Rattus norvegicus: one gene and its partners. The protein of the gene in region 1 interacts with the protein of each later gene in a pairwise test. Links are inferred from orthologs where the notes say so. Each region holds a gene or a part of one and is shown in the gene's direction. Other genes may lie near its edges.

Evidence for each region.
Region 2: the proteins of Hmbox1 (region 1) and Asb7 interact in binary tests that used the Homo sapiens proteins (3 or more experiments, as listed by UniProt). The two-hybrid records come from large-scale screens. The link is inferred for Rattus norvegicus from reciprocal best matches to the Homo sapiens genes HMBOX1 and ASB7.
Region 3: the proteins of Hmbox1 (region 1) and Sh2d4a interact in binary tests that used the Homo sapiens proteins (3 or more experiments, as listed by UniProt). The two-hybrid records come from large-scale screens. The link is inferred for Rattus norvegicus from reciprocal best matches to the Homo sapiens genes HMBOX1 and SH2D4A.
Region 4: the proteins of Hmbox1 (region 1) and Kat5 interact in binary tests that used the Homo sapiens proteins (3 or more experiments, as listed by UniProt). The two-hybrid records come from large-scale screens. The link is inferred for Rattus norvegicus from reciprocal best matches to the Homo sapiens genes HMBOX1 and KAT5.
Region 5: the proteins of Hmbox1 (region 1) and Abitram interact in binary tests that used the Homo sapiens proteins (3 or more experiments, as listed by UniProt). The two-hybrid records come from large-scale screens. The link is inferred for Rattus norvegicus from reciprocal best matches to the Homo sapiens genes HMBOX1 and ABITRAM.
Region 6: the proteins of Hmbox1 (region 1) and Wt1 interact in binary tests that used the Homo sapiens proteins (3 or more experiments, as listed by UniProt). The link is inferred for Rattus norvegicus from reciprocal best matches to the Homo sapiens genes HMBOX1 and WT1.
Region 7: the proteins of Hmbox1 (region 1) and Bysl interact in binary tests that used the Homo sapiens proteins (3 or more experiments, as listed by UniProt). The two-hybrid records come from large-scale screens. The link is inferred for Rattus norvegicus from reciprocal best matches to the Homo sapiens genes HMBOX1 and BYSL.

The regions. Positions count from the first base shown.
Region 1 is NC_086033.1:43,253,615-43,257,646, reverse strand, and holds part of Hmbox1 (homeobox containing 1), read left to right. Parts: intron 1-411; coding exon of another isoform or gene 412-414; coding exon 415-506; intron 507-726; coding exon of another isoform or gene 727-822; exon of another isoform or gene 823-831; intron 832-2,378; coding exon 2,379-2,516; 3' UTR 2,517-4,032. UniProt on the Homo sapiens protein: Binds directly to 5'-TTAGGG-3' repeats in telomeric DNA. Associates with the telomerase complex at sites of active telomere processing and positively regulates telomere elongation.
Region 2 is NC_086019.1:129,667,143-129,671,174, reverse strand, and holds part of Asb7 (ankyrin repeat and SOCS box protein 7), read left to right. Parts: intron 1-873; 5' UTR 874-991; intron 992-1,935; exon of another isoform or gene 1,936-2,059; intron 2,060-3,395; 5' UTR 3,396-3,446; coding exon 3,447-3,657; intron 3,658-4,032. UniProt on the Homo sapiens protein: Probable substrate-recognition component of a SCF-like ECS (Elongin-Cullin-SOCS-box protein) E3 ubiquitin-protein ligase complex which mediates the ubiquitination and subsequent proteasomal degradation of target proteins.
Region 3 is NC_086034.1:26,123,593-26,127,624, reverse strand, and holds part of Sh2d4a (SH2 domain-containing protein 4A), read left to right. Parts: coding exon 1-28; intron 29-1,772; coding exon 1,773-1,974; intron 1,975-4,032. UniProt on the Homo sapiens protein: Inhibits estrogen-induced cell proliferation by competing with PLCG for binding to ESR1, blocking the effect of estrogen on PLCG and repressing estrogen-induced proliferation. May play a role in T-cell development and function.
Region 4 is NC_086019.1:212,326,916-212,329,849, reverse strand, and holds part of Kat5 (histone acetyltransferase KAT5), read left to right. Parts: coding exon 1-8; intron 9-932; coding exon of another isoform or gene 933-1,049; exon of another isoform or gene 1,050-1,811; intron 1,812-1,817; coding exon 1,818-1,958; intron 1,959-2,031; coding exon 2,032-2,125; intron 2,126-2,934. UniProt on the Homo sapiens protein: Catalytic subunit of the NuA4 histone acetyltransferase complex, a multiprotein complex involved in transcriptional activation of select genes principally by acetylation of nucleosomal histones H2A and H4.
Region 5 is NC_086023.1:76,299,168-76,303,945, forward strand, and holds the start of Abitram (protein Abitram), read left to right. Parts: upstream 1-1,886; 5' UTR 1,887-2,104; coding exon 2,105-2,219; intron 2,220-3,175; coding exon 3,176-3,227; intron 3,228-3,709; coding exon 3,710-3,839; intron 3,840-4,778. UniProt on the Homo sapiens protein: Actin-binding protein that regulates actin polymerization, filopodia dynamics and increases the branching of proximal dendrites of developing neurons.
Region 6 is NC_086021.1:112,063,411-112,067,442, forward strand, and holds part of Wt1 (Wilms tumor protein homolog), read left to right. Parts: intron 1-835; coding exon 836-925; intron 926-1,726; coding exon 1,727-1,819; intron 1,820-3,653; coding exon 3,654-3,775; 3' UTR 3,776-4,032. UniProt on the Homo sapiens protein: Transcription factor that plays an important role in cellular development and cell survival. Recognizes and binds to the DNA sequence 5'-GCG(T/G)GGGCG-3'. Regulates the expression of numerous target genes, including EPO.
Region 7 is NC_086027.1:20,879,083-20,883,672, forward strand, and holds the start of Bysl (bystin), read left to right. Parts: upstream 1-1,258; 5' UTR 1,259-1,326; coding exon 1,327-1,591; intron 1,592-4,590. Other genes in the region: Med20 (mediator of RNA polymerase II transcription subunit 20), read right to left, coding at 803-816. UniProt on the Homo sapiens protein: Required for processing of 20S pre-rRNA precursor and biogenesis of 40S ribosomal subunits. May be required for trophinin-dependent regulation of cell adhesion during implantation of human embryos.

The DNA.
Region 1 (4,032 bases):
GATGGGATGAGGTTGGATAAAAGATTCTTTTAAGCTTCTTTCGGGGGCTGAGATAGCACAGAGGGAGAAAGGAAGGACCTGGTTTTGATGCCCAGCATCAGGAGAAGTATGACTTCATTTCACTTGCCATTTACTTGCCATTCCACTTGTCAGATGCCTTGCCCTGCCCGCCAGGACAGCTGTTAACATAGTAAGTTCTGTGAAGTGCCCAACAGTCCGCTTGGTACTTAACCAGTGGGAAGTTTGCTGTGCATTGAAGCTGGACTCTACCCCAAGCTACACAGAGTTGAACTTCTCCCATTGAAAGATGACTAGCGACTAACCATGTTCTGATTTCCTCACCATAAAATCATGTGCAGCCACTATGTGGAGGCAGCAGATAATTTAGGGATCTATTTGCTTTTTTCGAAGAAGCAGCAATCCTGGAGAGTCATGGGATCGATGTACAGAGTCCAGGAGGCCATTCCAACAGCGACGATGTGGACGGGAACGACTACTCTGAGCAGGTGGGTGGCTGGGCTAGCCTTCTGGTTACCGTGGGGGGCAGTGGCAACTCAAGTCTGTGGGTGGTTGTATGGGGCCGGGGAGCAGCTGGTGTCCCTCCACTCTGCTCATGTGTCTAGTTAGATTTTCATGCGTTTGGAAAGGAATGTGGTAAGACTCTGTTGTCCTGTTAAATCTGTGAGTAATCTCTATCCACCCTATGGGTTTGTTGTCACACAACAGGACACTTGGCAAGCACGCAATGGGGAGGAGGAGGAGGGAAGAAGTTCAGAGGGAGGCAGAGAAGCAGAGAAGGTAGAAGAAGACAGGAGGATCTGACCCAAACAAGCAAGTTACAACACTCACACACACAGTGTTGAGAAACACTTAGGGGCATGCGGGCAGCTGTGACCGTGCCTGCCGTGGACCATGAAGGCACAAAAGGCCCCGCCCACTCCAGTCCCCATTACACTGGGAACCCTCGTGCCCAGAGGAGTGGCTAACCAGAGTCTCTCTGGACACTGACTCATCCTGTCATAATGCAATACCTGCATGGTTTCTCATCTCATCCTGCTGTGCTCTGCCTTGCTTCGGGAAAGTGTATTTAATTGTAGCCACTGCATGGAATAAGTCGATAACTGTGATTGGGGGAATTCCCCACACCCGCAAACATGTTGACAGATTTCATTAAAATGTTCTATAGGATCAAATTTCATTTCCACTTGGGAAATTCAAAGAACACACGGTCCTGTCCCTAGACTCTTTCTTCTGGTGTTTTCCTTGTCCTCAGCCGCCATGTTCTTCATTCTCAGTTGTCCTCAGCTTCCGCGTATCCACTATTGCAGCAACATGTGTGATTCTCTGCAGATTCCTTCTTAAATCCCAAAGGCTAGTGTCTAAAAGCCAGAACGAAACAGTAGTAGCCATGTGTCCCAGCAGATTATGCCCCCAAGAGACCCAGTTCTCCAAGCACAGCTCCACCCTCCGCCCGGGGGAGTGCTGTTTCTTTCTGGAAACATCCCTGTCGTTTGTCAGCAGACCCACATGGATGGATCATTGCCACCTTTTTTTGCAGATGCCCTGAGGGCAGCACATCACATGCTTCCCGCAAGGGACTTTTCTTTCCAAAGCTCTTTGGTACAGAGTCCCCTGAAGATGAGACAGGTGAGATCCGTCCCAGATCTGTGATGGCGCCTTTAGTGCCCAGCACACCTGCAGGGAGAACTTCCATCACTGCTTTATTCCTCGATTGTCTGGGTTTGCCTTGGTTTGGTTTTGGAACTTGCAGTCAGTCTCTTGCCTCGGCCTGGGCATGGTGGGGTCACAGGCGTGTGTCCCTACGCCCACCAGCAGCCTCACTGTTTACTGTGTGCGACTTAGAGGGTGGAAAGCTTCACTTAGCTCTCAGTCGGGGTCTGCACCTGCAACTTGTGTAACTGCAGACCGTCCCTGATCTGTAAGGTGCTTGTTCTACATTTCCTCCACTGTTCTCAGCAGGGACACACTGGGTCCCAGTAGCTTTGTGGATTTAGGAGTACACTAGGTCACTGTTGTATCTGTGGCAAACAGAAAAATCCAGACTATTAGTTTATTTTGATCACTTCAGCTTTGATCAGCACTAGCAATTTTTGGTAGAATAAATACTGTGCGAAAAAAGGAACAAAACAAATCATTTATATCCTTTTTATTTATTGAGTCACAAAAAATTGAAAGTCTCTGGACCTGTGTCCATTCAGTGTCTACTTAAATACAGTTCACCTCCACCATGAGATGCACTCAGCCATTTTCTCCACAGATGCTCTGTCCCCCGCACGGCACCCCTGCATGCCTTTTTGTGAGCTTGAGATTGCTGCCAGCCAACCAATAACATTCCTTTCTTATCTCTGCACGTCTAGGATGACAGCACGAGCCATAGCGACCACCAAGATCCCATCTCGTTAGCTGTGGAGATGGCGGCCGTCAACCACACTATCTTGGCATTGGCCCGGCAGGGAGCCAATGAAATCAAGACAGAGGCCCTGGATGATGACTGATCAGGGAGTTAAACAGTTAACTTAGTTTAGACGTAGCACCTTAGCAGACTTTCCTCGGTCCTTAACATGTGTTCTTACAGTATAACTTACAGTTCCTTGTATGTCAGGTAGCCATTAGGGTCTTGTTCTGTGAAGATGGCATGGTGCCCTCATTCAGCCTTTGCATATACTCTCTCAGTATTCAAACTCCAGTAAGTAAGAAGCAAACAGACAAACCTCCCTCTCCCAGCCCCTGAGGTGAAAAGACAAATCTCGCTGCTCTGTCTTAGCATTCCAAGAAAGTGCTTCCAAGTATTTAGATAACCCTCAGTTCTCAAATATTAGGCTCTGTGTAAAATCTTGGGTACCTTTAGATTCCTGTAAAACTAGGCTGTACCCCGTCCCCGCCCTAAGACTGATGGGATGCAGGCTGAGGCAGTGGCACAGGGCCGACAGACACCATCTGGCAAGGATCCGTGGAGCGGAGCACAAGGAACATAGAGCCCCACCTCGGCGTGAGACGCACTGATTCAGCTGCAATAAGCCGCCTCCTGTCACAGTGTGGCCAGGCTCTACTTCTCTGGGTGCTGTGTTACGAATGTCGTTGGAATCCCAAGCTCAGATCTTGGTTAATGCTAATGCCCAACACAGACATCCTTCTGTCTTACAAGCTGTGTGACCTAGTAGATAATATACTGCCTTCCGCCTTTGGGACCACGATTCTAAAACAAAAAAGACAAAAACCAAGTTCTGAAAAGCAAAACCCAGCTTGAGAGCAGTAGGGAAAGCATGAGCTGAGTGTCGGATGGACGCTAAGCCCAGGTCTCGGGCCGCTATACATTCCACAGCGCGATGCCAGCGCCTGCCTGGGAAGTATTGGAGTTACCTTGGAAGTTGCTTTGCCTCCTGTTGGTGCCCCCTCCCTGCTACCAGAAAGTATAGAGCTGAGGTCAAGAGTGAGTGGAAAGCAGGCTTTGTACCTGTCACCTGAGGCCCACCAAGGGTTGCTAGGACTCTGCTGGGGACCGTGGCAACTTGACTGTCACAGACGGGGATCCTTGCCTAGCTAGGTGCAGAAAAAGCAGGGGACATTGCCACCTACATGTCGAGCGCGTGGGACAGCAGGACGTCCCTGCTGTGTTCCCTTTTCTGTTCTTGTGGAGGTGTGAAAGCTGTATTGCTACAGGCGATTTATTTAATAATTGGAAGCCATATTGATAATGGATGTGGTAATATTTGTAGTTTAATCTACTTTAAGCGGCAGTAACTAATGGAATTTTTTTCCTTGATCACATATGTAGCACTTTTGTTACTTTTTAAAGATATTTATATTTGATAAATCTTTTTTTCATTTTGAGAACTCAAAATACCAAACAGTGAACTTGCGTTATAAAGTCACCCTGTGGTCACCTTGTCATCTAGTAGCAAAATGATGAACTATTCATGCATCAAAGAAAATTACATCCGCTGGCCTTGTGTGAAAATGATCTCCTGGAGCCCTGATTAAATAGCACACTGTCACTGTGGGTAAGAAGAA
Region 2 (4,032 bases), on another chromosome or scaffold:
CTATCTTAAAGGCTTCAGAAAGGGGAAAATAAAACATCAAGTGCAGAAAAGGCAGATGGGAACCATTCTAATGTCCCCTTGCACAGCCATCAGCCCCTGTTGCCCCTCTTGCCCTGCACAGGTCAGCTCATCAGATGGCCTGTCCATTTCCATGTCTGAACCTTTAACTTCTAAAGGCTCGGCCCCCCACCTCCAGAAAGGGTGTCGGATCTCCCAGTAGGTTAATTGCTAGAGTGATTTCCTTGTGATATTGTGGGGTTTTTATTGTTTTGTTCTTTAAGAATTCAGTAGAGAAGGTAGTAAAACCTCTGGCTAGTTAATGTTTTAACTAGCTTGTTGTGTGTAAGTAAATGTTTTTACTGGGTGCCTGGAAGGCATAGGAAGAGCCACCATTCAAAGGCATAAGCCCCATTTACTCACCTACTTTACACTTGGCCCCTGGCAGCTGCTGTGTTGAATGCACACATTTTTTTCCCCTTTTAGTTCTCTTTAAAAAGAGCAGGTGACTGATGGTATCCTTAAAAAGTAAAGGAAGCAGGCCTGAGAGATATTCTCAGCAGAAAAGACAAGATTCTTAGCTTGTAGCCAAATTCCAAATGTGGGATTTGTTATTTTCTTTATTTACTGTTTTTTAAGAAGCTTGGGGTGGGGGCAGCACAGACTCTTAAATAAATCATACTTGATTGTGTCTAGAGATTGTTGTAAGCAACAAGATCATGTGCTCCAAAACCTTCTCTGAGTTCTTCTGTCAGTTTGTTGTAAACTCCTGAAACATAAAGTCATCAGAAAGTATAATCAGAGAGTAGACTGCAGACAGCGGTGCTTTCTCTCTTACTTTAGGAAAGCCCATGATTGTGATTGGTTTGTTTGTAGGTGAAGAAGACTACTCCCCTGAGGCCGGGGTACACTGGGAACCCTTCCTACCATGCTGCATGCACGCCATGGTTATTAGACAACCTGTCCACCGAGAGAAGAGACATTCTTCTATAAGGTAAGATGACCCAGGATCATCAGCCTCCTAGGCTATTTTGAGGAAAATCCTGTTTAACTTTTATTTTTCTTCTTGAAATCTGTTAATGAGTTGGTTGGGGCTATAGCTTAGTAATAGAGTGCATTTAGCAGGCTTCAGGCTCTGAGTTCAGTCCCTAGTCTAATAGAATAGACTTGCACAGAAAAGAATGGGCAAAATAGTGATTTAAAGAATAAACTAATGTAGCAGGCACTGAAAGAAAAACCTAGGTTTCTTTTGATGTTGTTTCAGTCTTTTTCCTATAGAGGAGACCTCTCTAGGTGCCAAGATAATTTTCTATTAAACACACCTGTGGGGCCTGGGAAAGGCTTAGTGGGTAAAGTGCTTTAGCACAGGCATGAAGATTGAGTTTAGATCCCCATCTACTCAGGGAAAAGTCAGGAATGAAAACTTCCATGGGATTCCATGGGATATACACTTGTCACCCCAGCACCAGAGTGCAGTGACAAGGAGGATCATAACGGCTTATCTAGCCTGTCTAGCAGAAATGGTAAAGCCGAGGTTCAGTGAGGGACTCTCTCTAAAAGAGTAAGGGAGAGCTATAGAGGAGGGCGCCTTAGTGTATCTCCACACTTACACTATCCACAGAACTCACTCTGAGCCAACATGGCGACATGTACCTGTGACTCAACACTTGGTAGCTAGAGATGGGAGGATCAAGAGCTCAAGGCCAACCTAGGCTACATAGGAAGTTGGGAGGCCAGGCAGAGCTAAATAAGACTGACTCAAAAAGAATAGTAAAATAAATCAGAGCTTCAGAAGCGTTCTGCTAAAGATGATGGTCTGAGTGGACAGGAAGGGGTTCCATTAATGTGTGCTGGTAAGTTTTGTTATAGTCTCTTATAGCACTGAAACTAACATGAAACCCATTCTGAAAGGTATTTTTTTTATGTTAAATTTCTAAGCCAAGAGACTGAATTTCAAGGAAGTAATTAAGTGAAGAATCAAAAGGAAACTTGCTTATTAAGAGAACAAATTATCAAGAAATTTCTCATTTTCCAATTTTCTCTGAGGAAACAGCTATTTGAGGTAATAGCTTGATATTTTTAAATTATATCACTGGGCGATATCGCTGAGACTATAGTGATGTCATTATTATATGTAAAAGCACATCAGATGTTTGTGTTCCCAGCCTGTTTTGGCTCCACCAAGCTAGGCTTACTTTTCTTGTGTTCTCTAGTTCATGATGAGAAATTTTGTAAGAAAAAGTATTAGTTGCAAAATTATCCTTGGATGTCTAACCTACATATGAGAACAGAATATCTTCAAAGGACTTTATCACTTTTTTTTTCTTTCAAGCAAATTTACTTATAGAAATGGAGGTTACCAACCAGGAGATTCGTCTAATTGCTTCTGACAAAGCAGCCCATTTGGAATGTCTTCCTAAGATCTTGTCAGTCTGGCTTTCTCTGTCTATCTCAAATGCTTCAAAGTATGCAGACAGGCTTGTACCCCCACATGAGAAGTAGCCATGTTACTTTGGGCTTCCCTGTGTGCATGGACAAGCTTCTTGTCTGCTGGGTTTGAGGACACACTTCTCCATGACCTGCAGAAGATGTGGGGTCCTTAGCATTAGTGTTCATTGACGTAATTTCATCATGTGGTCAATCCACAGGTTGCTTAGCATGCTATTTTGAGTATTTATGAAATAAAACTTCTGGTACTGAAATTAGAAAAAAATGTTTTAAAAGAATATGACAGGGAAGAGAAGACAAACATCGTGATCAGGTAGCCGAGGTAGGAAAACTGAGAAACACACGCACATGTGTGAATATAATCTATTTTATCCAGTTCCTTCGCTCAGCTGCTACCCCCCAGGCTTTATTACCTTGTATTAAAAATAAGATGCTGATGTGGATTGGGTCAGAGACTTGGCCTAGAGACAGCCCCTCCTTTTCAGTTCCTCCTCCAGGCTTTAATGGGCTGTTTTTTGCTATTCCATATTTATTGACTCAGACTGTGATAAAATCCTTGAGTAGTTTGTAACTTCCGTCGGGGTGGTGCATCGTGTAAGTCAGACTTCCTAAGACTGGTCCTACTGCAGCCATCTTAGCGTCCTGAGACCACCGTCCACTTTACCAGGAGAGAGCTGTCGTGACCAATGGAGTTTCAAGTTTTCAAAAAGACTGCAGAAAAGATTTTTCTGTTAAGTGGGTGTTTTCTGCCCCGCTTTCTCTTTCAATTAATTTATAGCCTTAATGCAGCTATGGGAAATTTAGGTCTAAGCAGATGCCTGCTAGCCAGTCTTGTTGAGCTGCTCTCCATGTCTATACTGATTTAGGGAGCGAATAGTTGTGTGGTGGTCAGTGAGCACAGTGTGAAGAGAGACAGATTCTAAATTGCATGTGCTCTCCCTTCCCGAAAGGCTGCCTCCCGTGACCTAATGTCTGGTTGGTGAAAAGCAGACTCTGCTAGGATGTTACACCACCACTGCCGGAGGAACCCTGAGCTCCAGGAAGAATTGCAGATTCAGGCTGCAGTGGCGGCCGGGGATGTTCACACAGTACGAAAGATGTTGGAACAAGGCTATTCCCCAAATGGCCGAGATGCCAATGGCTGGACCTTGCTCCATTTCTCTGCAGCAAGAGGAAAGGAGAGGTGTGTTCGAGTGTTTCTGGAACACGGAGGTGAGTTCACTGGATGCGAGGAGAAAATTGTAATGGCGTTTGTGGAAAACGCACTTGTGCACGTTTGTTTGCACGTGGATTTTAATGGTTCGCTTGCATTGCTGTTCAGTGTCTTATCTGCTCCTCTTTGCAAAGATGTTTGACAACAAAACACTAAGTTTTTTGAGTTGTTGAGTGGGTTTTACTCTGGCACATGTAGTTTCTGCAGATTGTCAGGCAACCCCAGGTTACTTCAACTGAGAGCCCTTATTGGGGCCAGTTGCCCTTGGGTGTCAGAAGCAGAAGTAGTTGTGGTGTCTGCCGTGGGGGAGCTGCCCAGGTTTCCCTTTTTGGAAATTGCTTAAGCAGAGGAGCCTAGCATAGGTCCCTTTAAAC
Region 3 (4,032 bases), on another chromosome or scaffold:
AAAGAAGACTCCGAATGGCAAGCATCTTGTGAGTACCCAGGATCTCTCGGCAGCACCATGCAGGGTCTCAGCCGGGCCTTCTAGTGCAAAAGCATCCGGGAGGCATCCAGAGCTCATCCTGGAGAAGTACCTGTCCACTGAGTTGTCACTCAGGTGTTACCAGTAAATGCTGATTCCTCGGGGACTTGAGTAGCAGGAAGGTTTGGTTTCATCGCTGTACCCTTAAATTAGAGAGAGTTTCTGCTCGGCAGAATTACACACAGCTGTGGAAAATAGCCCGCTGAAGAATGTTTCCTAGTTTTTAAAAGATGCCTCTTTCTTGGAGAAGAAACATTATCAATAGCATAAAAATCACCATTTAAAAATTCTGAATTATGAAGGAAGAGAGCAGGAAACATATTAACGTGTGAACCTTGCTTTTGTTTTTTTGTTTTTTGTTTTTTGAGAAGTTAGCTATTAAATTGTTTATTTGAATTTGAATTCTTGCTATTCTGTTTTGTTTTTTCCCCCAAGTTCTCAGTAGTGCATATACTTTTAAGCAGTATTTTTTTAACTGACATACGTCAGTTCTCCTTATAGAGTACCATACACATGACATTGTAACACAAAGCACACAGAGTTGACAGGTGGGATATATTTGCACCATTTCCCTGCATCTCTGCCTCTGACCCAGCACTGACTCTCTTTGGAGTTTGTACTGCCAGGGCCAAACCAGAAAGAACAGATGGACAGAGGACAGGCAACCCAGGTATGAGAATGGATTAGTCTTCCTGCCATCAACAGAGAAGACCCACTGACAGTCCCCTGAGACTTGTAGAGAGGCTACACCCAAGTAACAAGATTTTCTAGAGGCTCAGAGTCCTGAATTGATCTATGTTTCCTTTACAACAAATGCCAAAAATTTTGATAAAACAAAAATATTTGCAAGATCCAATTTGTGGCCTTCTGTGCTAAGCCCTGAAACTCCAGTACAATGAAATATTTTCAGTGTGTTTTCAAAGTCAAACATGACAGGATTTAGCCCATAAAGTCTGAATTGTAAAAACGAAAACAAAAGTCCTCCATGAAAACGGGTGGTTGCATCCTGTAATAATCTTTAATACTCTATGGCTAAAACATAGCCCCATTTATTTTAGAAAGAAATTAATGTTAAAAGGCAGATTGCGGAGCCTGTGTATATTTACTGAGGTGTTCTGAAATTCTCCACATGTTTCCGGGTAAAATCCCTTTACTTTCTGTCTCTCTGGCCAATTCACATTTAGTTAAACCTATAATAGACTCTGGATGTGACCTTCGACCAGCCTCCGTGCCTTTTTCCTAGCTCACCTGCTACCAAGAAGTCCTTCCTGTTTTTTGCTAGTGACTTGGGATGCACTGCGTCCTGACCATAATTGAATCAGGGATTTAATACTGGTCTCTGGCAGCCCTGTCCCTCCCACTAGGCTTCACAGCTTAGTATTTGCCCGGTAATGTACTCTTGCTATACATTTTCTACCCCACAACCTCCTCCTCCTCTTCTGTGTTCCTTTCCTCTCCTTCTCAGTAAGTCGCCAGTTCCTAACTGCAGATCGGAATTCTGGAGCGAGTGCAATAGGGGCCTTAAAATGTGATAGTAGGTACTGGGAATGATAGTTAATATGAACACAAAACCAACTCTGCCTGGAGCCTTCTCAGTGTACTGTGGTGCAGGGCTGAGTCTGCTGTCTCTGTGGGATCTGAATGTGACCCTTGGCAAGGCTATTGGACTAACTCAGACACTGTTATCTTTCTAGTGCGAAAATCTAAGGCAGCTGATGAGAAGAGACGCTCCTTAGCGAAACAAGCACGGGAAGACTACAAGAGGCTTTCTCAAAGGGGAAGGAGTGGCGACGGGCTGCAGAACCCACTGACTGGTCCACAGAAGCCCAAAAGACCTCCTCTTCCTCCGAAGCCCCAGTTCCTACAGCCGCTGGGAAGCCCTCCAAAGTCTTTAGGGTAAGAAGCCGCACAGATGGCTTCCTTCATAAGCCCTGGGATGGGCTAATTAGAGCTGTGTGTCTTGGGGCATGGGATGGGGTGGGTGCTCGTGTTGGCTCACTGCTTAGGTCAACGCAGGCTTGCCTCTAACCAGTCTTCCTTGACTCCTTTCTTTCCTGTAAGATAGCCACTGTGGCTAAAGTTAGAACCCAACTGCAGGGTGAAGATGTCAGGTGACTTGCTGTTCCCCACCTTCACCAGTGGCAGCAGGCTGACAGGAATGAAAAGGGGGAACATGGAGGGCAGAACAGTGTTTAATGAGCAACATTGCCTCTAGTCACCAAAATAATAATTAGGATCCTGGGGCAGGTAGACTCATTCCCAGAACTACTTTTTATTGCTGGAGTCAGGGTTTGATGGCAGAGCCAAGATCATATTTTCAGAATTTTGAAATGCTCTATTTTGGGACAAAGCATCTCTCTTATTTGGCCATAAAGGTAACTTTACTTTCTAGGGACAACATGTGCTAGAAGATAAAAAAAGAAAGCTAGAGTGATATCCAGAAGAAAACAGCATCTTTCGTGTTTACTGACTACCAAATTCTTTTTTATAACTACTGACTTATATAGAATATTATTGTTATTCTAATTTTTATTTGTTTGCTTGTAGTAGGGTTCAAACCCAGGGCCTTTCACATGTTAGGCAAGCAGTCTGCCACTGAGCTATATCTTCCACCCTAAAATTCCCACATTTAGAAAGAAATGTTTAAGATCAATTATTGATCATGTGATTGATCACATGATCTAGACTGTGGTTAGCATTGTCTCTTGAAATAAAAACTAAAAATACTTCTCTGTTAAGAGTTTTAACAAACAAACAAATGAACAAAATCTGTTCTTTTAATTGTTTAAGTCATTCTTTTTTCTAACTGAGGACTATGACCTCAGAGGAAACACAAGAGTAAATTATTTCCCCTACTTAATAATCACTTCTACTTACTCCACTGAAGGTTCCAGATTGAGATGTGGTGACCAGCACTAAATGACACAGCACACAGTTTGGGAAATGAAGTTTTATTTTTCTCCCTTACAAGTAAAAATAAAACGTCAGAAATATACACCTCCTGAGCTTCGTAACAGGTCACACATGGGCTCCCACATGTGGTCTTGTCTAGTGTAACTCTGGCTACAGAGCCTCACAGGAAGCCTTTCTGGTTTGCTAGCCCCTAGCATGGGGTATGGTTCATCTAATGTCTTTCCTATAATGTTTTTAGGACACAGTATATAGATGACAAGGAGAGTGGCCTTTTAGAGAGTAGGAGACAGTTTCCGTCAGGAGTACTCAGCTTGCTCTTTTTTAAGGCAGTGTAGAATAGCTCCCTGAGTGTCAGAATAGATAGGGCTGGGCCTGGGACTCTGGGCAGTTATGACAGAGGTTAGCCAAGAGCCAACCGAGAGAAAGACAGGTACTAGCTGTCCCACGTATGTGGAGTTTTAGTCTCTCTCTGAGGATTATGTGGAGAAAAGGAAGCTAATGTGAAAACTAACATGAGAATTTGTCAAATAATCTAATGTGTATGCAAGGTCAGCTTCCGGAAAAGTTAAATATTGTAAGATATTTTCTCTCAAATCCTCTGAATACCATTAATAATAAAACATAGCCATATTTGCATATATATGTGTGTGTGCATGCATGTATGTCTGCGTGTGTGTGTGCACGTGTACACACACATGCAAGCATGCACACATGTACACACATGTTTGCAGAGCTGTTAAGTACCATGAAACTCATGGCATACACAATTTGTTGCCAGCAGAAGCACAAAGAGCCACATTAATTTGTACCATGGAAGATTCCAGTAGCTCATTCAATCTCTTTGTTTTAGATTTAGAGCCTGCTCACCTAGTGGCTTGTTGAACAGGACTTGGGCGAATATTTATTACACCTCTGCGCTGCCTTCTGTAGTAGAACCATCTGTGCCAGGACGTCCTTCTGATGCTGAGTTGGTTTCAAAATGGCGCTGTTGCTAATTTTTCCTCTCTAGTCTGCAGACACATTCCCTTTACCTTCTTGTTC
Region 4 (2,934 bases), on another chromosome or scaffold:
AAAACAAGGTCAGTGGCTTGTGCATGGGGCTGGAATACATCATATGAACAACCTTTTCCTGCTCAGAACAGTTGACCACTCTGGCTATAGATTAGTTCACTGTTTTTATTGAATGCCTGACGTAGAGCTGGGGAATGCACAGAACACTGGCATTTAGATACATTCTCTTCCCGGAGAGGTCACTGTCCATGGCAGAAGTAGACATACCAGCTATTCAGATCCCAGTGTGAGGAGTATCGGAAACAAAGGCTGGGTTAGCAGAGTTCAGAGGAAGCTGTCAGGAGCTTGGAGGTGTGTATGCCTAGAATTCCAGCACTCAGAGAACTCTGAGTTCAAGATTAGTCTGATATGAGTTCCAAGCCAACCTGAGCTATAAAATAAGAAAGACCTATCTCAGGGAACCAAAGCAAAAACCTGTAAGACAGCAAAGGTTAAGTGTAAAATTGGAGGCAGTTAAAGAACAGTGTGGCCCAGCATCCCGGAAGCTGATGCTAGGAGCTGACATTCAGAGCCAGTCTGAACTACACAGTAGGATCCTTTCTAAAGCTGAGTTAAAAAGGATCTTTGGTTGGGTGTGCTGGTACATCCTTTATTCCTAGCACTCCGGAAGCAGAGGCAGGCAGGTCTCTACTGGTCTATGGGGAGTTGTAGGCCAGCCAGGGCTAGAGTCAGATCTGTTTTGAAACAGTTTGCAGGTTAACCTGTGAGCCTGGACATAGCAAAGAGAACATATTTAAACAGTTGTAAGCAGTTGGGTTCAGAGATGCAGCCACCAATGTACCAGGACAGTGCATGCAAAAAGTAAAAAGAAAGGGAGAGGTGGTGAGGCAAGGTCAAAGGTCAGGTGTCAGGAACAAGATCAGTGGGGAGGAACAGGTTAGGGTTTCTTTAAGTGACAAGTATGGAGGTCCTTGAAATACACACTTTTTAAGGCCTCCAGGGTATGGATGGAGAGAGAGGCAGATTTCTGGATTGGTTTGGGAGCTCACCTTGAAGAGGAGCTACTTCTTCAAGAGGAAAGTACAAAGTTTCACATTGTTGTATATTAAGTGTGGTGTTCAAGTAGATGACCAGCAGTTGCAAAGCTGTCTGAAATTCTTCTAGAAGTCACATGTGATAAGACAACCAGTCCAGAGTTGTAGGGAAAAATCCCTAAGGCTGGCAGTTCCTTAAACCTCCACAGAATTGCAGACCAGTTCCCAGGAAGGGTCACCAGCTAGAGCGTTCAGGTTCTGACACCTACAGCCACATGGGTAGAATGTCTCTCCTGATGACTAGTCCATTTGGAAACTTAATAACTCACTATGTATCCCTAGCTGACTGACTTCAAACTTGTATTTCCCTCTGCCTCCTAAGAGTGGAGGTTACAGGCATTCCTGGCTTGGAAACTTTAAGTGGAAAAGAGGACAATGCAGGCCCAGGGCAGGCTTTGCTGGGGATGTGGAAGCTCTACAGCTCACCAGGGGCAGGGCAGGCAGTTGGACGTTAGTTTGTAGGCTCCTGGTCACTTAAGTAGTGCTTCTAAGCAGTGGTGCTAATCTGACTGGTGGGATGGGCCAGGGTCCTGGGCGGGAAGTTCAACCCTCTCAACTGGAACAGCAGGAAGAAGTGCTCCTCAGAGCCCTTGAGATGGCTCAGTGCATGGAAGGGCTTGTCACACAAGCCTGGCCACCCGAGTTTACTCTGTAGAACCTATGGTGGAAGGGGAATGGACTCCCATGCGTGTGCATGTTGTGTACAGGCACATGTGGCATAGTAAATTAACTGTTTAAAAACAGTATCCCAGAGTATTGACTGTGAGGTCTTTTCCTTTATAGAGTTACTCACAAAACCTGTGTCTTCTGGCCAAGTGTTTCCTCGACCACAAGACATTGTACTATGACACAGACCCCTTCCTTTTCTATGTAATGACGGAGTATGACTGCAAGGGCTTCCACATCGTGGGCTACTTCTCCAAGGTCAGCACTCACAAAGGCTGTCCCTCAGCCCTGCCCTGAGCCTGGCCTTCTTTAACCCACCTACTTTTTCCAGGAAAAGGAGTCCACAGAAGATTACAATGTGGCCTGCATCTTGACTCTGCCACCTTATCAGCGCCGGGGCTATGGAAAGCTGCTTATTGAGTTCAGTGAGTATGGCTGCCTGATCCGGTGTCTGGTAGGCTGGCAGGCCAGGCCTATGTGGGTGTTCCTTTGCACGCAGACAAACCAGTCACCAGGAGAGCTGCCAGAAATAAAGGGATACTCCACCAAGGCCTTTCCTCAGTTGACTGCCCTGTTTCCTGGAATAAGTTCCCAGCATCTACTTCTCTTTGGCTAAAGGCCTACAAGCCACCAAATTTTTCCCAAATTGGAATCGTGTGTTCTCATCTGGAGCTCTGAGCAACCTAAAAAGTCTGGTCAAGGACCAGTGGTTCTGTTACTAGGCATGCCCTAAGCGAGCCTTGCAGGCAGTAGGTTCAAAAAGGTATACGGCCACTAAAAGACAGACTCCTGTCCTGCTTCTTTGTAAGGCTAGTCTTTTAAAACCCAAGCGGGCTCTGGCCCCTTTTGAGGACACGGACTCTTTTTTTTTTTTTTTTCTTTTTTCTTTTTTTTTTCCAGAGCTGGGGACCGAACCCAGGGCCTTGCGCTCGCTAGGCAAGCGCTCTACCGCTGAGCTAAATCCCCAACCTTAAGGCTTTTTTTTTTTTTTTTCCTTTTTGAGGACACAGACTCTTAACTCTGCAGTCTCATCGTTTCCTGCTGTTAGTCCACCCAGTCCTGTTCTGTTCATTGAACTGTTCTCTGGCTCAGGAGTCAGGGAAGAAGCTTTCGCTTTTCTGCTGGTGAAAACACAGGTGTCTAACTTGTTCAGAGTCGGGTCTCTTTGGAGTACCTCACTGATTAGAGCAGGCGAGAGGAAACTCAAAGGGCAAACGAGATATACCTACTTTTG
Region 5 (4,778 bases), on another chromosome or scaffold:
CCCAGGCCTCATCCTGAGTTTCTGGGCATCACTCTAGAGTCTGAGTCCCAGTGTTACAGGGCCTTTCTATGAGGTGTTAGGGCCTGATGATGCCGACATCTGCCCTAGTGTTGCTCCCTTCCCGTGGGAACTGCTTCCTTCAGCTTACCTTCTAAATTACTTGCTTTTCACTTTTTCCTTTCCTTCCTCCTAGAGCAGTTTAAATAATTCTTCATAATAAACCCTGCTGAAATACTGTGTGGCCTCTACTTTTCTGACTGGACCCTGACTGATAAAGCACAGCAAAGCAATCTGAGTTTTTAAAAGAATAGCTCGGGTCAGGTCTGGAAAGATGGCTCAGAGGTTTATTATGAGTGCTGGCTGCTCTTCCAGAGGCCCTGAGTTCAGTTCTCAACACCTACACAGCAGCTAACAAACATCTATAACTCCAGCTCCAGGGAGTCCCATGCCCTCTTCTGGCCTCCGAAGCCACTTCATGCACATGATAAAAGGCAAGCTCATTAGTCTCTCTAATGCCACAATTCTTTTAGCATGAACACTGACTTCTCTAAATTGTCATTCCAACACTCCTCACTCATTTAACTTTTTGGAGTTACATAGCCCTGTATTTTTCTCAGTGCTTTCAAGTTAGGAAAAGAGTATTTTCCAAATGATTGTAGGATCATAATCTGCTAATAGCCTTCCTTTGGCACCTCCTACTGCACCTCCCTGGGTTCCATGAATTCAACTTTTCTCCATCCACACATGTGCCAAAAAGTCCTTTCATACAACTTTGATCATGTCCTAAAATTCTGACCACTGCTCCATTTTCTCCCCGTGGTCCCCTACCTTCAGGCTTAGATAGCTCACTAAAGGGAAGATTAGATAAACCTATATACCTTGTAACTGAACAAGTCCAAACTGAACATTAAACTCACTATCACTCACTATCTCCTGATATTATCATAAGCTGACCCTTACATGCACATGAAATGCAACCTGAAAAACAGAGAACCTGCTGATCTCTTATCAAATAACAGCCTATCCTGGCTTGGGACTCATTGTCATCTCTGTTTCCACAAGCTAAAATTTGCCTACGCCTCTTTTTCTTTCACTTACACATAGAGGTATTCGCTGGTTATATATCATGGTTCTCAACATACAAACGAATCCTTTACACAATACCTAAGATCCGTTATGTGACTTACATCAAAACTTGCCAAATGTTAGGCCCTAGAAACAAAAGACTACACAATCACTGCCATCACAGAAATCCCGGGTTAGGCAAACCAGTTAGGAAAGCAAGAGATACACTGTTCCACAGAAATGACCCAAATGCGAGAAAGGATCCGCAGCACAGCACAAAGGCCTCTATTACCTATCACCTTCACAACGAACTAACCAATTAGCTGGTAGAGGTTTTATCTATATTCTGCAAGGAAACCAGCAATTGGGGAACAGGACCCTCATCCCCCGCAGCTGTGTCCCGCAGCGCCCCAGGTTGGATCCGGAGCAAAAGTATACACAAAACATCCGAAATTCGAAGAGAGAGGCTGTCCACGCTGCCCCGCCCGCGCGCGCAGACAGAGGCGCGTGCATCTTCCCTGCAGCAGGGCAGAACTGGCCCGCAAGACCAGGCCGCACAAAGCAGCTCAGACTGGAACGGACGAATGCTCACCTACAACGCCCTAGCGGAACTGCGCCCTCGCCTCAGTGCGCGGCTCCGAACCCTCACGGTACACTGGGTTTGGAAGGGAAACGCCAAAGCACACGGGAAACAAGAGACACGAACCACCGATGAGCGAAACCCGCCAGGTAGCACAAGAAAGGCGGCGCAGACGTGGTGTCACCCACGAGACGCACTAACTTGACGTCACCAGGTGGGTGTGGCCAGATGCACCGCCTCTGTAGATCCGAGGTCCTAGCCTGGTAGAGACAGAAGGACTTTGCTGTCTGTTGTCCCTCAGCCCTTTGACGCCCAGTTGTATTTGCCCAACAGTTGGACTTTGGCCCAGCAGCGCAAGTGACTGGGGTTGGGAAGGAGGTCGGCTGCGGGCCGGGGAGTCGCGGGCGCGCGCGTGCACAACGTTACCACGCGCCGGAAGTACTCTCCTGGACCAGCGGGATGGAAGAGCTCCCCTGCCCCGAAGCCGGGGTGGTGGCGCCAGAGGTAGTCATGTCTACCGAACCCCCAGCACCCTCCCTTGTAGATCGATACTTCACTCGCTGGTATAAAGCGGGTAAGTGCGGAATGGTGGTGAGCTCTGCTCTACCGCACAGGGTGGATGCCGCAGGTACTTCTGCCACGCGATGTAAGCCACCTGTGCTCTTCCTTGAGTTTCCTAGTCTCAGGATTACAGGTTCTATTTCCGACGTGGGAAGTGCAGTGCCATATGCGGGTTGTTGGCAGGAAAGGACGTGAACTAAACTAAGGAACTCAGCGTTAGTATATCTGGGCTTCCACACACTGCCAAGTGTTTGTGTGCTTGGAAGGATCAATCCTACGCCCAGTCGGGAAGAAACCTTAGGCGTGGAGAGAACATTAAGAGATGTTAAGGAACATCTAATGTTAAGAAGAAGCCGTGGGGGTTGGGGATTTAGCTCAGTGGTAGAGCGCTTGCCTAGGAAGCGCAAGGCCCTGGGTTCGGTCCCCAGCTCTGAAAAAAAAGAACCAAAAAAAAAAAAGAAGAAGCCGTGCATATTGTCCACTGGACGTTTTGAAGTAGGTTTCGCTGGTGTTCTTTGTGCCCAGAAAATACCAATACCACTTTTGGGGACCCTCCTCTAGCCTCTACCTTAGCCTTTTTAATTCAGGGAAACTGGTATGCCCACACACGGCGTTTAGGATAAGCAACCTTCCTAGTTCTCTTTAGGACTGAATTTTCCAAAAATGTGATTTTTTTATAACATCAAGACAGCCCCACAAAACAACACCACAATGTAAGCAACGTGATTCTTATAATAGTGTTTCTCTAATGGAAATAATAGGTCTCATCTTAAAGTGAGAAGATGGAGAAGTTAATAATCTTACCTGCCTTAACATTGAATAAAGGATTCTATCTGGATTAAGCCATTTAAACTACTTAATAGCCTTTATTTACTTTGACCACTGTGATCAGCTTCATAATGAACTATGGTAATCACATGGTAATAGTAAACACTAATTCAACAACCAGCAACTCATTTATTCCTCTAGATGTTAAAGGAAAACCCTGTGAGGACCACTGTATACTCCAGCACTCCAACCGGTAAGCAAACCAGGAATTAGAAATTATCAACACTGTCCTTCTGGTAGTTAGTCTGGTATGGTCTTGGGTTGGTTTTGAGCATTCATGAAATTGTCTTCTACAGTGTTGAAATGATATTATAGGAGTGTGGTGGGAAGAACATGTCTTGTTGGGTCATGTACTGCTTAGCCAACCTGTACCAACCACTGTACTGCTGGACCTATAGAATGGCTCCTTGTGGAGGCATTTGTCATGTTCTGTGTCCACAGTCTTGCCATGCTTCTCTGCTACCCTAGCTTACTAAAGACTTGTACTGCTCCCTTTCCTGGGAAGGAGATTCAACTCTATTCTCTCCTTTTCTGTATTATGTTCCAATCACAGCAGAGATAACTGGACTGAACAACGGTCAGGTTGGATAGTCACCCTCAGCAGGAATACTGTTACAGGAGGAGGTTTCTGGCCGCCATGCCACAACATAGGATTGACTGTTTTTCTCCTTGTAGAATATGCGTCATCACACTGGCAGGATCTCATCCCGTTCTTCAAAGTGGCAAAACTATTAAAAGTATTTCCTATCAGATCAGTAACAATTGTAGCAGACTTCAGAACAAAGTATCTGGGAAATTTAAACGGGTATGTTTCTGTAATCCTGTGATTTTTTTTCTTTTCTACTGAGATTTTCTATATTCATACTATGATGGATCCAGTCAGCCATAAGACTTTTTCTAGCAGTTCAATGTAGGTTTTCAGTAAAAACATGCTATACACTTCCACCCCACACCCCCACACACAAGTGTATCAAGATGTATAGTGTCTATCAGTAGGTTCTTCCCTCCATTCTTCTTATCCTCAAGGGATGAGATGGAAGATGGGCCTTGGCCTTGGCCTGCAATCCCACCTCTTGGGTGGTTAAGGTAGCATAATTGCAAGGGTGAGGCGATATAGGGCTATACAGTGAGTACCAGGTTACATGTAAAACTCTCAAAAACAAAAGAAAGAATCTTGGCTTCAGCTGCCCATGTTCACTGTAGGAAAAATTCTTAAAAAGAAAGCAGTGCATAAAGCATACTCATTCCCTGTTTAGAGATATTTGTCATACTACCCTAGGTGTACCCATCTCCCAGAGTATCTGAAACAATGACCATACATACTGTCAGGAACTGTGTTAAAATGTGGTACTAATAGTGAAAGGAGTTGGGTTTATTTAAACTTTTTTAAAACATTTTTATGTATGTGTCTGTGACACGTGTGTGCGGGAGCCTGCAGAGGTAAGGGGAACTTGTCAAATGCCCTAGAGCTAGTTACAGGTAACTGTCAGCTACCGTGTGGGTACTGAGAACTGAACCTGGGTCCTTCCTAAGAGCAGGAAATAGTCTTACCTTCTGAGCTATCTCCCCAGCCCACCGGTTTTATTTTTTAGTTAGAAAAATCCTAGCAGTAAACCATGTAAAGTTCCTTTACCTATTAATTTCTAATATAAAAGATAGGGCTCTTTTCATTATTTTTAGTTTGTTGTTGTCATCATTTTTGAGACAGGGTTTCACTGTTGCCCTGGCTAGCCTGGACTTAGAT
Region 6 (4,032 bases), on another chromosome or scaffold:
GGAGCTGTCCACCAATGGAAAGACCCTACTGACCCTGGAGTATCTAGCTCTCCATCCCAGAATCCAGTGAGTCAGAATTCTAGGAGGTGGGGATACTTGCAGAAGCTCAGTGCACTCTTGGGGGCTCTTCTCCCAGCTTTTGGCTGAACTTTTCCTGTGGACACAGGGGTGGGGCTCTTCTTTCCCGAGTCCAGGGTTGCACAATCCTACTGCTGACTTGGTTCAGATTAAAGGACAACAATCTTGCTAAATGTTTCTTTCAGCTTCTGGTTTAATTGGGGAATCTTACAACCATCGAGTCATTTATGTTGGTCCCAGGAACAAGAAGTCAGTGGCAGAGAACACCAAATCTTCAGGCCATAAAACACAGAACAGTTCATTCACAAGGCCGGCCTCAAGGCACACTATCCAAAATTCTATCTCCGATTCAAACATGGACTTTGAAACAAACCTTTTTGGTTTTTTGGCTTCTCCAAATAGTCCATGCTAATGTTTGTGTTTTTCTGATCATCGCCTCAGTGCTAGGCACCAGTCTGCTCCTTCTACTTGGACGGTCTGGTCTAATCTGTTCATAGACCCTTTGATGTTGTCAGATTATTGGTTCCATTTCACAGTGAGGGAACTTCGCCAGGGTATCTGCATTCACTCCTTCCTGTGTCCATGGGCATGTGTGTAAGTGGGATTTTCTTTTCCCAGAAGTCTACAGCACTACCCTAACTAGCTCCCCTTAGTGCTCTGGGCATTTTGGGATCCCTTCATCTGCATTTAGGGGGGTTTCCTTGTGAAGAGGTTTCCTTCCAGCACTGTACTCAGAATGGCATGTGTTTTCCCTAAGGTGAGAAACCATACCAGTGTGACTTCAAGGACTGCGAGAGAAGGTTTTCTCGCTCAGACCAGCTCAAAAGGCACCAAAGGAGACACACAGGTTTGTAGGTTCACTTTTCATTGCCAGCAGTCACAGGCCCTTGGGTTAGAGCCGATTTTGTGACTGTCTTCTCTGTTGAACACAGACAAGAGGGTGATCTACCTCCATTTTCCCAACTTTCTTCCCCTCACCTGGAGACTTCTTTTAAAAAGAAGGGCTGTAGAGATGATGGCTCAGCAGTTAAGAGTACTTGTTCTTGCGGGGCACTCAGCTTCGGTCCCCAGCATCCACACCAGGTGGCCCGTCACTGCCTGCCACCACAGCTCCATAGGGCACTCTCTTCTGGCTTCTGAGGGCAATGCACACACACGACATACATTCACACACACACACACACACACACACACACACACATCATAAAAAGTCTTCCTTTACAAAGGAGAAGGAGAAGAGGAAGGAAACATCTCACGTTCGTGACGAGAGCCACAGCGGCTGTAGGATCCCTCAGCGGTAGACTGTGGTGACTGATGATGGTCAGTCAGGAACCAGGGCAATGGCGAGGATCCTGTTTGCAGTGATCTACCTTTCTCAGTCTCTAACACTTGTCTACTGGCGAGAACTGGATGTTTGTAATTAGGAAATGGTTTTTCCAAGTCGGGAGCAGCTCCTGGAGGTTGCTGTACAGAATCAGGTGGCTTCTGCTGAGTCTGGGGATCAAGGAAGCATGAGGTCCCAGTAGACGCAGACCTGGCTGATGTGAAAGATATGCCGGGCTTCTCCAGCTGCCAGAAAGCCGGCCTCATGTGTCTCACTGTGCCCCACATTGCTAGGGCCGAGGCTAGACCTTCTCTGTCCGTTTAGGTGTGAAACCATTCCAGTGTAAAACTTGTCAGCGAAAGTTTTCCCGGTCCGACCACCTGAAGACCCACACCAGGACTCATACAGGTAAAACAAGTGCGTAAACTTTTCTTCACATTTATTCTTCATTATTTTCTAAGCTACTGTTTAATGAAACTGTTTGCAATGCGAGAGACTCGTGTGCAAGTTCTAGAGTTGAGAATCCATTCAGAGAATGGCTGTGTCTGGCTATCTTTATATGATAAATGATAATGTTTTTCAGAGAAAGGGTCAAAGAGCATGGGGTAGGCAAGAGATGGGCAGAGAATGCCCAGGGGGATTCACAGCAAAGATAAGGTCGTCTCCACTGTCCCCAGTTTGCTGTATTACCAACTGAACAATCAACCCGATAGCGTGATCAGAAATTCAAGATATTCTATTCTACCGAGAGCCTAAGTTTCATACCCGATCAGAGAGCGTACCCCACTTACTTAAAGCTCCACGAGGAGTCTAGGTTTCTGTCAGACTAACACAAGCACATGGATATACCAGCACAGGGAGGAGAATGGGGGATTGATGCAGCCTCTAGCTGCTGAAGCACTGTGTTTGCCCCCAAGGCTATGAGATTCATGGTGAAAATAGCACTGCCCTTTTTGCTCATTTGCTTCCTTAGGAAGCAGAACCATCTCTTAGATTAGCTCTTCATCTTCACGGCATCCCTGGAAGAAGACTAGGTAGGTGGTTTCAATCCTCTTTGAACAGATGAGTCTGTGGTGGGGAGTGATTAAATAGTTTGCCCAGAGCCACAGAGCAATTGAAAGGCAACCTCAGTGGCAACTGCCCCACCTCTGCCCCATTGTTCTTGGAGAAAGAGCTTGAGTTCAAACAGCTATCTCGAGAAGCCAGGGAGTTAAGGAGGGAGCCAGACTCAGCCAAGCCGGGTGCAGCTGAGAGGACCAATATGAAAGGGAGTTGAGAAGTGCCTGTGAGGAGGTGGAGGAGCCAGTTTAGGAAAAATGGATGGCCAGTGAACAGGACGTGAGGAAGCCATGTTATTGTAAGTGTCCAGGAAAGTCCTCACTCTTCAGGACAGACAGGTTATCAGTACCCTCGGAAGATCCTCCAGGCAGCACTGGGCTTGTTTCCTGTGGTATTTTCTTCTGCAAGCCTTGGGGATGTGACACAGGGATGAGAGTGGGCTTTGAATTAGGCATGTCTAGGTTCAAATCCTGCCTGCATCTGTGGAGTGAAGATAATGATTCTTTGTGAGGCTGTTTGAAAGGCAAGGATCATATACCTCTAAGTGACGCCTGTGTGATAGGCATTACACGCAAGGTATTTATTGTCTTCAATGAGGATGGGAGCTCCCAAGACAGAGCAGTCTTAATCATTTGCAACCAGACCCTCTGCTCTGACACAGTTTGTTTCTGAGTCAGACTCTGCACTAAAAAGAAGCAAAAAGAATACAAATTGATATCCACGATTTATTTTAAATCATCTATATATAAAGAGTAAAGCTTTGGTCCTAGATCTATTGCTGGCCAGTCATCAATCAACAGTACCCAGGGTGGTGGTTCAGTGGCCCTTGCAGATCAGGTCCTACTTAGACAGCAACAGAAACATTTGCACAGGTCACAGAGCATCCTTAGAGATAAAACAGAGGTTTCCCAAACCCCCTTAATTTATGAGTTGCTTAGAGATTCCCACAAACTAGACTTCTCTCCCATTTCCCACGTTTTCCATTTTGTTATATTTACAGTGCTTCTGGTTATCAAGCCCTCAGAAGGCATTGCTAATCCCAGGCTGCCAGTGAAGAGCCAGTTGGCTAGCTTAGGGAACGACCCATGGGAGTCCAGGGCGGGCTGTGGTGATTTAACGCGGGCCTTTGATAGTTGAACCTGTGCCCAGTCATTCTGTTGCAAGTGTCTCTGACTAGCAATTGTGTCAACAGGTGAAAAGCCCTTCAGCTGTCGGTGGCACAGTTGTCAGAAAAAGTTTGCGCGGTCAGACGAATTAGTCCGCCATCACAACATGCACCAGAGAAACATGACCAAACTCCAGCTGGCGCTTTGAGGGGTCCGACCCGGAGACAGTCCAGCGTCCCAGGCAAGAAAGTGTGCAAACTGCTTCCAAATCTGATTTTGAAATTCCTCCCTCTCACCTACAAAAGGACATGATGGTGGATCTTCATCCGACTTCCAAGACAGCACACCTGTTTGACTGCGTCCTATCAGGTTTGCCGGAAGGAGTCGGTGCTCTGCCCACTCTTGATTAACTCCCAGGCCTGAAAAAAGTGGCTCACAGTGTCTAGAAAGCCCATTGACATTGTC
Region 7 (4,590 bases), on another chromosome or scaffold:
AGTGCTGAGGTCTAGTACTTTGAAATTAATACCCACAAAAGCACGGTGCCCAAACCTTACCGACTGCCTCTTTTTTTTTTTCAAGTGAGACTTAAGACATGTTTAAGATAAAAGTCGATCAAAACTGTCTCAAGCCCAAGTGCTGGTGGCAAATGCCATCACCAAAGCACTCAAGAGGCAGAGGTGGGCAGATCTCGGTGAGTTTGAGTCCAGCCTGATCTACAGGCCTCCCAAAGCTACTCACAAAGAAAACCCTGCTCAAAAAACTGTCTCAAATACGTTAGGGAGTGGTTCATGAATAGTTAATATGCCTGGTACCCCGATCTCCAAACTCCCAACAGCTCCTTTCCCCTACCTTTGTCACTAGCCCCAATATCTTAAAGTGGCCAGTTCAAAGTCAGGTGCTATAACTGCAAGCAGAATACACAAGTCACTTTCTCCTCGCGCCCCTTTTTATCCCTTCCTCCGAATATCTCCTAGTCTAGAAACCTTATTTCTAACCGCTGGATTCTAGTTGCGACGGGACAAGGCCTCAAGGACAGAAAGAGGTACCGAGAAAAAGAAGGTCCAACAACTCTTGGCGGGTTCTTGGGATGAAGTGCTTGCTTTGCCAAATTGTTATGCCTGGGAAGGGAGAACCCGCACTCGGGTGTCCCCTGATCCACACAACCCCAGGACATCTTGGTCAGCCCTCGAGGAACCGAGAACCTCGGTCAAAATCCCCCTCCCCGGGCCATTACAGGCTCACAGACACCTTCACGACCCCACAGCCCCCCCCCCGCAGAAGCCCTTCAAGTCCTACCACGTCACTCCCATGGCGAAGGGTCAAAAGGTGGTACTGCCAAATACTCAAACTCAGAGAATCCAGACCTTCCCACGAGAGGCAGCCCCCTAAACACAGGAAGCGGTCGTTGACCGGCCTCCGGAAATGCGTAAATACTGAGCGCCAGGACGACACGCCCACAGGGAGAGGCATCTCTGGATACACCAGCGGTGACATTTCTAGTACGTCATCGACCCGGCTCCGCCCCCAAAACATACAAGGGGTTGACAACACGCCCTAGGCTACTTTCATGAATTCTGGAAAAGGTGACTCGAACATCCACCTCTTTCAGTGAGATTATCTGAGAATTTGGAGACTCCTGCTCCAAGCCCCGAAGCTCTTCTAGAGATGGCGATATATGAGGAACTTCCGGCCTCCGAACGCTGGGGGGCACTGTGATGCCTCAGTGACCTCTTGGAGACCGGAATACAAGGCGCAAGCGCAGTCTCGTCTCTTAGCCGGCTTCACACGTGTAAACTTTGTGGGCAAGTTTTTCGACAAAAATGCCCAAATTAAAGGTGACACGTGGGGCCAGAAATCAAGAGAGACATGCACCTCTGGCGGAGCAGATTCTGGCTGGGGACGCAGTGCGTGCGGGGACCCGAGAAAAACGGCGGAGACACGGGGTCGAAGAGGAGGAAGAGTATGTGGGACCCCGGTTGAGCAGACGGATTTTGCAACAAGCCCGGCAGCAGCAGGAGGAGCTCGAGACTGAACACGCGACTGGAGATCGGCCGGCAAAACCGCGAGAGCGCGCCACGCGGCTGGGTGAGTGACAAGGGGTGGAGTGGTGAGTTGGGCCGGTCTGATACTCTCCATCGGAATACTGGGTTAGAATTAAAAAGAGTAGGCGGCTTAACTTTCCCGCGTGGTCCTTCACTTCCACTCCTGGGTTTCGGGATCCAGACTTAAGCCAACAGAATGTGATCTCTCACACCAGTTCTAGCATTTATTTATTCTCTGTGCGTTTGAAGTATCTGTGGGCTGCCTGCATAGTGCTTTGAGCTGTGTTAAGTTTTTAGGCAGTTCTGATCCAGAAATAAGATCTTCATCACTCCTGATGGCACCGGAAGTGTAGCTCAAGGCACACATTAAATAGATAATTAGAGTAATATATTCCAGGCAGGAGTGGCGATGCTCACCTGTAATGCCAGCACTCCAGAAGCAAGGCAGAAGGCCTCCTTGAGTACATAGTAAATTCCAGATTAACCTCGACTACATTACATGATAGAACCCTATCTCTCAAGAGAGGGGGAAAGATATTTCTGTTTAAACAAAAACAGATGGACATTAATTCTGTATGGTGGGTATCCCAGGTTTCACGTCCTTCTAGTAAGATCTGAAAAGCAAGTGGGAAGTGTTCCAGTGATGAGGGAGGGGAACGAGTATTGTTCAGAAGCTAAAAGTGGGGTGGGATGGGTGGGTAGATGCTTGGTAATCTGTCTCACTGGGGAGGAACTGTCGTTGACCTCCAGTTGCTTAATCTTCCATTCCCATCTGTCCTAAAAGCAGTGTTTGAATGTGGCTTTAGGGCTACAGCAGCTTTTCTGAAGTAAGGGCTCAAGGAGCCCAGGCTGGCCTCAAACTCTGTAGGGGAGGATGACCTTAAACTCCTGATCTTGCCTCTGTTTTCCATGTGGCATTATAGGTGGTTGGCACCACGCCTGCCCTTAAAAACATTTTGTAACTGAGACTGGGTCTCCTTCAGTTGTTCAAGCTGGACTTGAACTTGCCGTGACCAAGGCAGGCCTTGAGCTTATAGATCCTTCCGTGATGCTGTCAGCAAATTTCACTCTGAAGCCATCTGTTTGATGGCTGCTTCCAGATTTTTCTCCCACGTACGTAGTTCGTCCAAGAGGCTCACATCTTTATTTCCAGTGGTCTTCCTGACAGCTCCAAGTTGAAGACTGGTAGCTGTCGATAGTTGAATGTGTCCACACAGAAGTTCTGACTTCCTTCCCAAACCTGCTCTCTGTTGGCTACACAGAGTTTGTTAGCATGTTAGCCTTCCACTGCTCAAGGCACAATCCAGTGTTCTCTTTCTCACTTCACAGTAAATCCTGATGGTTGTGTCTTTAGAATATATCCAGAGCCAGACCACTTTCCATTAACTTGGAACGCCTCCTGTTTTAGCTACCACAGTCTCCCCTGAATCACTGGGAGAGCATCATAATTTGTATTCTGTAACCTCTGTGGTCCATTCAACAGCTAGAGATCAACAGAATCCTATCTAATCTGCCTCTGTTTCAGGTCTAATCACAAAGTAAGGAGGGGATAAGATAATTCAGCTGGTAAGGAACATGACTTGAGACTCTTGACTTCCACCTACAACAGCTTGTAGTCCCACAGTGTTGAAGACAGATCTCTTGGACCCACTGGGCAACCAGTGTAGCCTAATCAGCTAACCCCAGGTCCCAGCCAGACCCTGGTTCAAAAACAAGGTCATCAGCTCCCGAGAAATAATAGTCAAGATTCCCCTCTGGCCTCTATGATGCAAGGGTTCACTCATATATAAAAAACTAACAACAGCAACAACAAAACACCCCACAAGTGTCAGCATCTGTCTCCTAACCTCTTTTATTCCCCTACTTATCTCATAGCACTTGTCTTCTTTTATTTAACATGTATTTTGTGTGCGTGTCATGATGTGTGTAGAGAACAGAGGAAAACTCTTGAGAATTGGTCCTCAGCTTTTCAGAACACTTGTTCTAGCAGAAGATCCGAGTATGGTTTCCAGCATTCATATGTCAGGCTTGCTGTCTGTAACTCCAGTGGCAAGGGGTCAGATGCCATCTTCGGATCTCACTAGACACCAGGCCCGCGTGTGCACAGACATACATGCAGGCATGCAGGCAGGCACCGCTCACACTTAAAGTAAATCTACAACAAACACCCTTGGCTCTCCCTGAATGTGCTCTGTGGACTCCTTGAGCTCTAGGTACCCTTAGTCCACTTCCAAGCACATGACCTGTTGCTCTGTAACACTGCAGCTAATTTGGCCCATTAGGCTCTTTCCCAGCTGCCTTGCCAGGTGTGTGTGGTGTTTGTCACTACAGGTATGTTGGCACATGGCTTTAATCCCAGCACTCAGGAAGCACCCAGCCAAGGCTACATGGTCAAGACCCTGTCTCTAAAAAAATAAAAGTCAGGATATGTCAGGAATGGCTTGACCCACCTATCCACCTATCGCCCACGTAAGGACACAGAGACATTTTATTATGAAAGCTTGGCCTTAGCTGGCTTGTTCCCAAGTAGCTTATACAACTTAGCCCATTAATACTAGTGTACACGGAACCACATGGCTCATTTCCACTCCTCAGTACCTGTATGTGTTTCTTCCTCTGGCTGTCAAATCCCTTCATATCTCATTTCTTTCCCAGAGTTCCTATCTCTGCCGGAAATCCTCTCCTGCTTTGCTATAGGCCAGTCAGCTCCTGATTAAACCAATGGGACGGAGACAGAGAAGATGTTGTTTATACAACACCTGGACAGGTGATGCTTCACAAAAATAACAATAACAACTGCAAGTCTCCACTGTTACAGAAATCAGTGTGTGAATAATTCAAAGACAACCTTACACAGAACAGGAGCGTTTATCCCAACATCAGGAGCTCAGTGTTAAGCATTGTGGTGTGTGTTTGTGATTCCAGCACTTGGAAAGTAGAGGCCTGAGAACAAGGACCTCTAAGTCATCCTTGACTACCTAAGTCAGCCTTTTAAATGTATTGGTTAATCAGAGTCTGGTGCCACTGACTAGCCCTCAGCCT